Bombyx mori: one gene and its partner. The protein of the gene in region 2 binds, or shares a complex with, the protein of the main gene of each other region. Links are inferred from orthologs where the notes say so. Each region holds a gene or a part of one and is shown on either strand. Other genes may lie near its edges.

The links.
Region 1: exosome complex component RRP45 (region 2) and exosome complex component RRP46 share a complex: the UniProt entries of both Homo sapiens proteins name them as parts of the RNA exosome core complex. The link is inferred for Bombyx mori from reciprocal best matches to the Homo sapiens genes EXOSC9 and EXOSC5.

Annotation. Positions count from the first base shown.
Region 1 is NC_085131.1:1,264,062-1,268,181, forward strand, and holds the start of exosome complex component RRP46, read left to right. Parts: upstream 1-1,302; 5' UTR 1,303-1,340; intron 1,341-1,346; exon of another isoform or gene 1,347-1,420; 5' UTR 1,421-1,497; coding exon 1,498-1,600; intron 1,601-1,823; coding exon 1,824-1,950; intron 1,951-2,569; coding exon 2,570-2,678; intron 2,679-4,120. UniProt on the Homo sapiens protein: Non-catalytic component of the RNA exosome complex which has 3'->5' exoribonuclease activity and participates in a multitude of cellular RNA processing and degradation events.
Region 2 is NC_085119.1:13,155,623-13,159,879, forward strand, and holds the start of exosome complex component RRP45, read right to left. Parts: upstream 2,817-4,257; 5' UTR 2,780-2,816; intron 2,701-2,779; 5' UTR 2,666-2,700; intron 1,574-2,665; exon of another isoform or gene 1,505-1,573; 5' UTR 1,110-1,504; intron 933-1,109; exon of another isoform or gene 881-932; intron 784-880; exon of another isoform or gene 693-783; intron 570-692; exon of another isoform or gene 339-569; intron 227-338; 5' UTR 176-226; coding exon 110-175; intron 39-109; coding exon 1-38. UniProt on the Homo sapiens protein: Non-catalytic component of the RNA exosome complex which has 3'->5' exoribonuclease activity and participates in a multitude of cellular RNA processing and degradation events.

The DNA.
Region 1 (4,120 bases), on a different chromosome or scaffold from region 2:
CAAATTTTAGAATATATTATGAAGCCTATTAAATAAACGTAACTTTTTTGGTGGTAATTTACAAGTATGTTTAACGGTTTCTTCTTTGTACTTTAGATCTGTACTACTGCTAAGTCCTTGTTGTAAGAAAAAAATGAAAATACCCTTCTCGGGAAGAAATATCGGGCGAGTTTGAATAGCTAATACAAGATTTTCGTAATGACTGTTCCAGTAAACACATAACATAGCTCCCTTCAATAAAATCAGGCTTCCTGGTGGAAGTTAATAACTCGTAGAGTGCTAGTAAAGCTTTTCTGCAGAACGCTACTTCTCCTGTGTTTGTTCTTGTTAAGTTGAGTCATTTATTTAAACTAGTACACTATTATGATTGTATTTTATACTTCTTTACAAATTTCGCCAAGACTACACTTTAAAAAATATTAACAAAGACAAACAATATTTAATCTATTCTCAATTTGACAACAAAAAGAACAAAAGTTTAACAATAAATAATATGCATGCGTGTGTGCGTCAAATACATGGTATGTAGTGTGTGTAATGTTTTCTTTATTGATTTAATGTATCTTTTATGCATTATTTTAAAAAAGATTAGCATTGTGCACTTCTTCTCTATATTCTCTATAAGTGTGGAAAACTTCATACTCCTCCTTCCGCGCAATTTTCGTAAAAAGGGATACACAGTTTTTGCTTCACGTATTAATATATAGATCTCGAAGATAGAGATTTTTTTTCAAAAAACTTAAAATATTGAGCACACTGAAAAAAGTACTAAATTGGGATAATGATTCAGTTTTTAAAGATGAAAGATTATGATGAGTTGGAACCTACTCTTGCCGATAAGGGCGTTGTGTCAACTCAACTTTAAAAAACTCAGACTAAGGACAATGTACCTAAATAGATAATTATGTACTCCTATTTTGGACTTTTTGGCGGGAACGCGAGTAGCAAAGTTGTGAGAATAGTTTTATTTTGTTAATTTAATGTTTCTTCATGTTTAAACATGTACTAATGGATGTTTATGAACTGTTTAGTATCTGGGAAAGTGCATAAATTTAGGTAAATAAAACAAAGTCACCGGACGTTGATCCTCGGGATCTTCCAAACAGTCCACTGAAATAGTCTTAATAAGTCTTAGTTTTAATTTAATTCCAATTAATTAATGTTTGAAATTAATCAACCTAATTTCATTTCATTTTCATATCGTCTTCATAAAATAGAATTTACAAAAGATTAGGCTGTATGTTTCAATAGCTTTGCCCTTCTGGTTGTAAAAAACAAACGAATACTACTGTCAATGTCATTCTCACATGTTTTCTCAATGAAGTAGGAAACCTATATAGGTATATATACTATATAGGTCTATGTGTTTTCTATATTTTTCTTGTTATTAAAATAAATAAAGATCATCTTTGAATTTTAGAAAATCAGAAACCCAATTAGCAATCAAGTTTCATTGTACTACTTCAAGATATATTTAAACATTTGAACGAATTAAATATGGTGACTGATATGAAGGATGTACAGGATTTTAAATTAAAACCTATGAAATGTGAATTCAACTTCCTGAGCAAATCTGATGGATCAGCTATTTTATCACAAGGTAAAAACAGTTTTATGCCCTATAATCTAGCTGTGGTCATTTTACCGAAACTCTTAATTTAGGTACAACATGTTAAATAATAATTTAGTATTTTTACAAAAAATAAGTAGAACAGTAAGATTTTACGAACATTCAAAGTTCATCGTCTTAAAAAGTACAACAATGTTAATTAAAACTTCTTGGACAGAAAATCGTTCATCAAAGCTTGTAAATATTTTTACAGGGGATACTGTATCATTGGTGAGCGTAAATGGACCTTTAGATATAAAGATGACCAGTCAACGAATAGATAAGTCAACTCTTGAGGTTTTGTTCAGTAATAAGAATGGGAAACCGAGCGTGGAAAACAGGTAATGTATTAGAGCTATATGGCTATTGGAAATTAATTTAATAACAATATTTGCTTGTCAGTGGTCATTTGTATAATAATAGATGAAATCCACCGTTCGGTTTTGGAATGAACTACCCTCTGTGGTGTTTCCCAAGCGTTATGACATGTCCTTCTTCAAACGAGGCTTCTTTGAGAGTACATAATGGCATGTAGCTGCTTGGCTTTGCCCCTAACATTGACGTTGGCGTGAGCGAATGTAACCACTTACCATTAGGAGGGTCATATGTCTACAAAAAACATAAATTTGGTTGTCATTAATGAATGTATTGTTTAAACATTACTAGATACAACAGAGTTCAATATGGCAGATACACAACTTATTGATATTCTTGCTTGATCTTCTAAGTGAGTCACTTTTCTGACATGGTAGATTCAGCAAAGCACTGCGACTCTGTTAGGGTAGACATTAACAAAGTGATTGAGGTTGATCCCCATAAGTCTTCCACCAGTCTCTGTTGATGCTTCATGAAAGGTTTCTCAAAGAAACATCTGTAAGTGATGTTAAATTGTGGAATATTTTCAAGAAATAGGTGTTACAGTCGATTGTTGAATTGTAATCATATTACATGTTATTACAGATACAAAGAGAATATAGTGAAACAGACATGTGAAGCAGCAATACTTGGTTCTCTGTATCCTAGAACTGGTATAAATGTTACTATACAGGAACTAGAAGATTATGGTGGTGTGAGTACTGATTTGTATTTAACGAGGGTGAATTGGAATTGTTCCTAAAAATGAAGATTGGTGGTATTGGAAGTACTGGTGATTAATGATCTATCTGCTTCTAGCATGGAGCAGTTATGATCTGCCTATTGCTTTTAAGTGGGGGTAGTTCTTCACTCTCAAGCTTTCTACACATGCTTCAGGCTTGTAAACAAAAATAATGAAAAAAAAAAACGAAAATTGTTTTAATTGATATAGATAATGTTTTCTGTTAATTTCACAGATCATTTGATGAGCTCAACCGATGTAAAGTGGTTACCAGATTTCAATATGCTACATATTTAATAGTGGCCAAATTATTTTTATTATTAAATGTCAATGTATTATTAAATTGTGAATTTATTATTAACTAGCTGACCCGGCAGACTTCGTAGTGCCTCAATCGATAAATAAAAGACCTAAACTTTTGTATAAAATAAACTTAAAACAAACAAAAGGAATCCGTCCGACGCGGGACACAACAAAGGAAAAACAAAATTGTTATTTTTATTTAGTTCCGAGCATTTTCATATTTATTTACCTTTCAAACCTTCTCTGGACTTCCACGAATCATTCAAGACCAAAATTAGCCAAATCGGTCCAGCCGTTATCGAGCTTTAGCGAGACTAACGAACAGCAATTCATTTATATATGTACTAGCTTTTGCCCGCGACTTCGTCCGCGTGGAATAGTTCACGAATAATACAGGGTGGCCCATAAGTCCTTTGATATGAAAAAAAAATTATTAAAATAAAACTAATTACATTATGAATTAAATTTTTATTTACATAAAAAGCTTAAAAAACGGGAATTATTTTTTGAAAATAACATCTCCTAAATGTAATCCGTTGCGAACACGGCACTCTTGCAAACGACGTCTAAAATTGTCGATGACTGCGCGGCACGTCACTGCTGAAATGCTTGTCATTTCTCTGCGGATGTTTTCTTTTAGGGCCTCAATCGACCGCGGGTTTGTGTCGTATACTTTAGCCTTAAGGTAGCCCCACAAAAAAAAATCCATCGGGGTCAGATCTCGACTACGTGGAGGCCAGGAAATGTCTCCTCTCTTAGAGATAACTTTGCCAGGAAAAAGTTGACGGATAACGGGCATAGCAGTGTTAGAGGTGTGAGAAGTGGCCCCATCCTGTTGAAACCACGTCCTGGCATGTAAATCTTTCTTCAAAATCCGTTGTAACGATGTCCTGGATACGTTTAATGCTCTGGCGCGCTTACGAGTTGACTGTGTCGGATTTTCGCGAATAGACTGTGTCACTGTGTCTATGTTTTGTTCCGTACGTGACGTCCTTGGGCGACCCAACCGCGGTTTATCTAACGTCGAACCGGTCTCCTCGAACTTAGCAACCCAGTTCTTAATCGTTTGAAGAGTTGGAGTGTCGTCAAAGTTGTGTAAACCTTTGTGTTCT
Region 2 (4,257 bases):
AGTTTTCGGGTTTCATTAAAATTTCGACCGTCCAAGCGCTGTAATCAATTTATTTCCAAATTACTTTTGTAGAAGAGTCTTAGGTTATATTCTATTAGTTTCAACTTACATGTCCTTGAGATACGATCTTTTGTATGAAATTCTTTTCACAATTCGATAAACAAGTATCACGCATTTTGTTATTGGTTCATATTTTTTTGTGAATATTCTGTTTAAAGAGGCATACCTAGCAATAAATGTGTGATTATTTTTCTTAGGTTATCTGTTAAACTTTTTTTTTAATTCCACTTGTTCAATTAAACAGGCAAAGGGAATATAGCCTAAAGAACTAAACCAAATGAAAGTCACACCTTTAACTGTTTAATTTAAATTAGCTGTGATTAAATTAAAATGACCTGTCATATTGTGAAAATTTATTGAAACTTCAAAGGAATTATTGTGGATTATGGAATTACTCTACAGCAACTGGTGGCGTTTGCTACATATAGAAATGTACTAGGTACTTCCAAAACCTTTTTGGAAGACCTCGAAAAGTCACGTCCACAGATTTTGTTTCACTTTTTATATAGGTACGTTAACAGATACTAAATTTGAAGCGACATCGAACTGTGAAAATGATACAATTCTGATCATGCGCTCTTCGGCTCCTGGTTAATCCAACCTAGATAAGTCTCGACCTCAGATCTTAATTAATACTTAAAACTTCACGAGAACTGCGTATATTTCACGAGGAGCGTAACAACGTTCCGGAGAGATCCGTACTGTGCTACGGCTCGGACAAATGTAAATATTATAAATATTATATAATAATACTTAAAATGTATATATTAAAAATTTTAATTCTATGATTGATAAAAATTACATTTTGTTCGAACTCTAGAGTAGCACAGGAGCTCAAGTAATATCTGGGGCACAGGTGAACAGATAGGCAGGTACGTAAGCGGCTGACACAAACACAAACTATATAGGCACAAGCTAAGATATGAATAACAACACCTGGGATATGGGCAGAGCTCGAAATTCAAATTGTATTCTATAAACATCTTTCAAACCACCAAACCCCATTAATGTTTTACTGCTAAAATAAATAATATAATTATTTTACTTACCAGTGCTCTCTTACATATTCGATGTGAGCTTAATGTCCCAATTAATACGCAAACTACATTTTTTTGCGTAGATAGGTGAACGAGCTCACGGCCCCACAACCAACCCAGGGAACGCCAGTTAACGATCATAGGTCAGTTTGGTATGATACCTACTAAAAAACACTTAACCATTCTCCGTTGAACCATCCTTAGACAACCTTTACAACACCCATGGGATGAGATGGGGCGGTGCTGCTATTCTATGACACCGCACATACACCGATTTTTGAATTGTAATCTTATTTATGTTAAAATGAACTGCGTAATGTAAAGGTAAATAACCACCGTATTAAATTTTCTAATGGTTTTCTAATGTAAATCATAAGGCATTTGACATAGCATTGACAGAACGCGTGCTGCAAATATGGTAAAAGAGGATGTAAAAAAACTGAATATCGTTTAAAACAAATGCTTCGGTCGGAATTAGGTATATTGATAACATAGATACTTAAGAGCATGTAAAGAATGAATTTGACAGTTTACAGAAAATCGTTGTTTTGCGGACCAATGAACGCCACTACATTTAGTTGCCCACTGAGTTTCTCGCCGGATCTTCTCAGCGGGTCGCGTTTTACAACCGGTGCTACCTAGATTCTGCGAAGCACAGCTCTTGCTAGGGCCAGTGTTGGCAACACTCCCGGCTTGAGCACCGTGAGCCCACCTACACCCTACACGTTAGAGTGAAGCTGAAATAGCCTCTAAAGCTATCACATAGATAGGAAAAAAATACATTCGTTGGTTTCCGGAAATGGGCCAGATTTTTGACTCATATCCAGCAAAACAATAACTGCTTTCAAATGACGTTCTTTGGAGCAACAAAAGTTATTCAGGAAAATTTTATGCCAACTTTCAAGGTAAAGTAATATTGATAAACAATGGACTTTTATCAGCACGTGTCTGATGCAAAATACGTTTGCAAGTTCCGATTGAAGCGGCGTATCAATTGAAAGAGCGTAAAGTAAGTTTGAAGCTCTATGAATTGCCAGAGGCAGCCAGAAGTGAGTGTATTTAAAAAAGTTGATATGGTAATGGCAGTGCTCACAAAGTAGTTTGAGAGCCACGTGGTAGAGCATTATGGATTACCCAATACAATATATTACGTCGTTTTCTCAGGTTCAGATTTGTATAAATGAAAATTCAATAAAATCAATAATAAATAAATTGTAGTATCCGAAGCGAAGCGAGGGCAGGTCGCTAGTCGACTATTAAAATCACACAGCTATTGATTTCGAGTAGAAATATTCAGTCTAGCAAACATAAGGAAGATGCTACCTATCGCAATCTATCTATAGCTAATTTCTGAGTTTATACTGGTCACTATTTTCGGCACATTCTGTTAGGAGTAATGTAAAATTCGGAGAAATTGATTTAGTTGATCCACTGCATGGGAGATCTTCGGCATGATCTTGTACTATCCGCTCTTCGTTGCCCTATGTAGCTTTTTATTGAGTTATTACCTCGTCACGAAATATATCTATATATGCAAAATATCCTATGTCCTGGATGACTATACATACAAATCACAGGTTTCTGCTCGCGTGGTATACGGATCCTTTAGAATGTAGACCTAAGTTTACGGAGAGGCTTTGGTTATGTATTTTTTACCACGCGACCAGCTTTGGAAAACACACCTCACTACACCCAAGAGAAATAAAAAAATGAAAACACGTACAACTCGTACAGTGAGTGCCTTTTATAGAATCACTTACTCCGCGGACCACGGAATAGATAAATAAGGTTATATATAAATATATAAATAACCTTATTTATTATTATATATTTATATATAACCTTATATATAAATATATAATATTTATATATAAGGTTATATATAAAAATATTATATTTATATATATATTTATATATATATATAAATATTATATATTTATATATATATAAATATATAATATTTATATATATAAATATTATATATTTATATTTATATATATATAATATTTATATATATAAATATATATAAATATATATATATATAAATAAGGTTATAAATAAGGTTATATATAACCTTATTTATATATAAATAAGGTTGTATATAAATATATAAATAACCTTATTTATCTATTCCGTGCCGCGGACAATCCAACTCAAGGGTAAAAAACTCTTCTCCACAATATTCTCCGTTAGCATATAGAATTGTTATGTCCATAAGCTACAGTAGCCCTTTTTGCGAGGTGCTCCTTGTACAATCGTGCTATAATTTGACATAACAAAAAAAAAAAAAAACAAAAAAAAATCTTATATATTACATAAACTAACAACCTAGTTTTATATGTAGGTACCTACCACAAATGTGATCACATATGACTATCACCCTAGTAATCAGTTATGCCGACATGCCATTAATGTACTATTGATCATTTTGTAAGAACGAAAACATGAAAGCTTTATGTGGATGATACCTTATAAAAAAACTATATTATTTTGTATTTTGATTGAAGAACCTTTATAGGATGATTTTAGTATTGAAATTTTCTAGTTGCGGCTTTAAGCAGGTGGCCTCTTTGAATTAAAATCGAATCTGCATGGACAATATTCCATTATTGTTTTTTCAAACAAAAACGTTTATATTTTTAATATTGTTGAATTTCTGTATTTTATATAATCTTGTAGCACTAAAAATTGTTAAATTGTTAAAGTAAAAGCTTTTTTAATTTTTTTAATCGCTTAGGTGGGTGGACGAGCTCACAGCCCACCTGATGTTAAGTGGTTACTGGAGCCCATAGACATCTACAAAGTAAATGCGCCACCCACCTTGAGATGTAAGTTCTAAGGTCTCAGTATAGTTACAATGTCTACTCCACCCTTGAAACCGAAACGCATTACTGCTTCACGGCAGAAATAGGCAGGGCAGTGGCACCTACCCGTGCGGACTCACAAGAGGTCCTAGTACCTATATGTATATGCTTTGCTACGGCGTTACAAAAGAAGGCAACCTTATTTACTACTTTGTTAACGACTTACAAAAATGATGTACTGGAAACTTCACAAACCATAGTATTTGCACCAAATTGGCTCGATAAAAAAACGATCGAGTTTTATTTATCTATGAGATCAATTACTGCAGTACCGCTGCAACAGTATTACTCGGAAA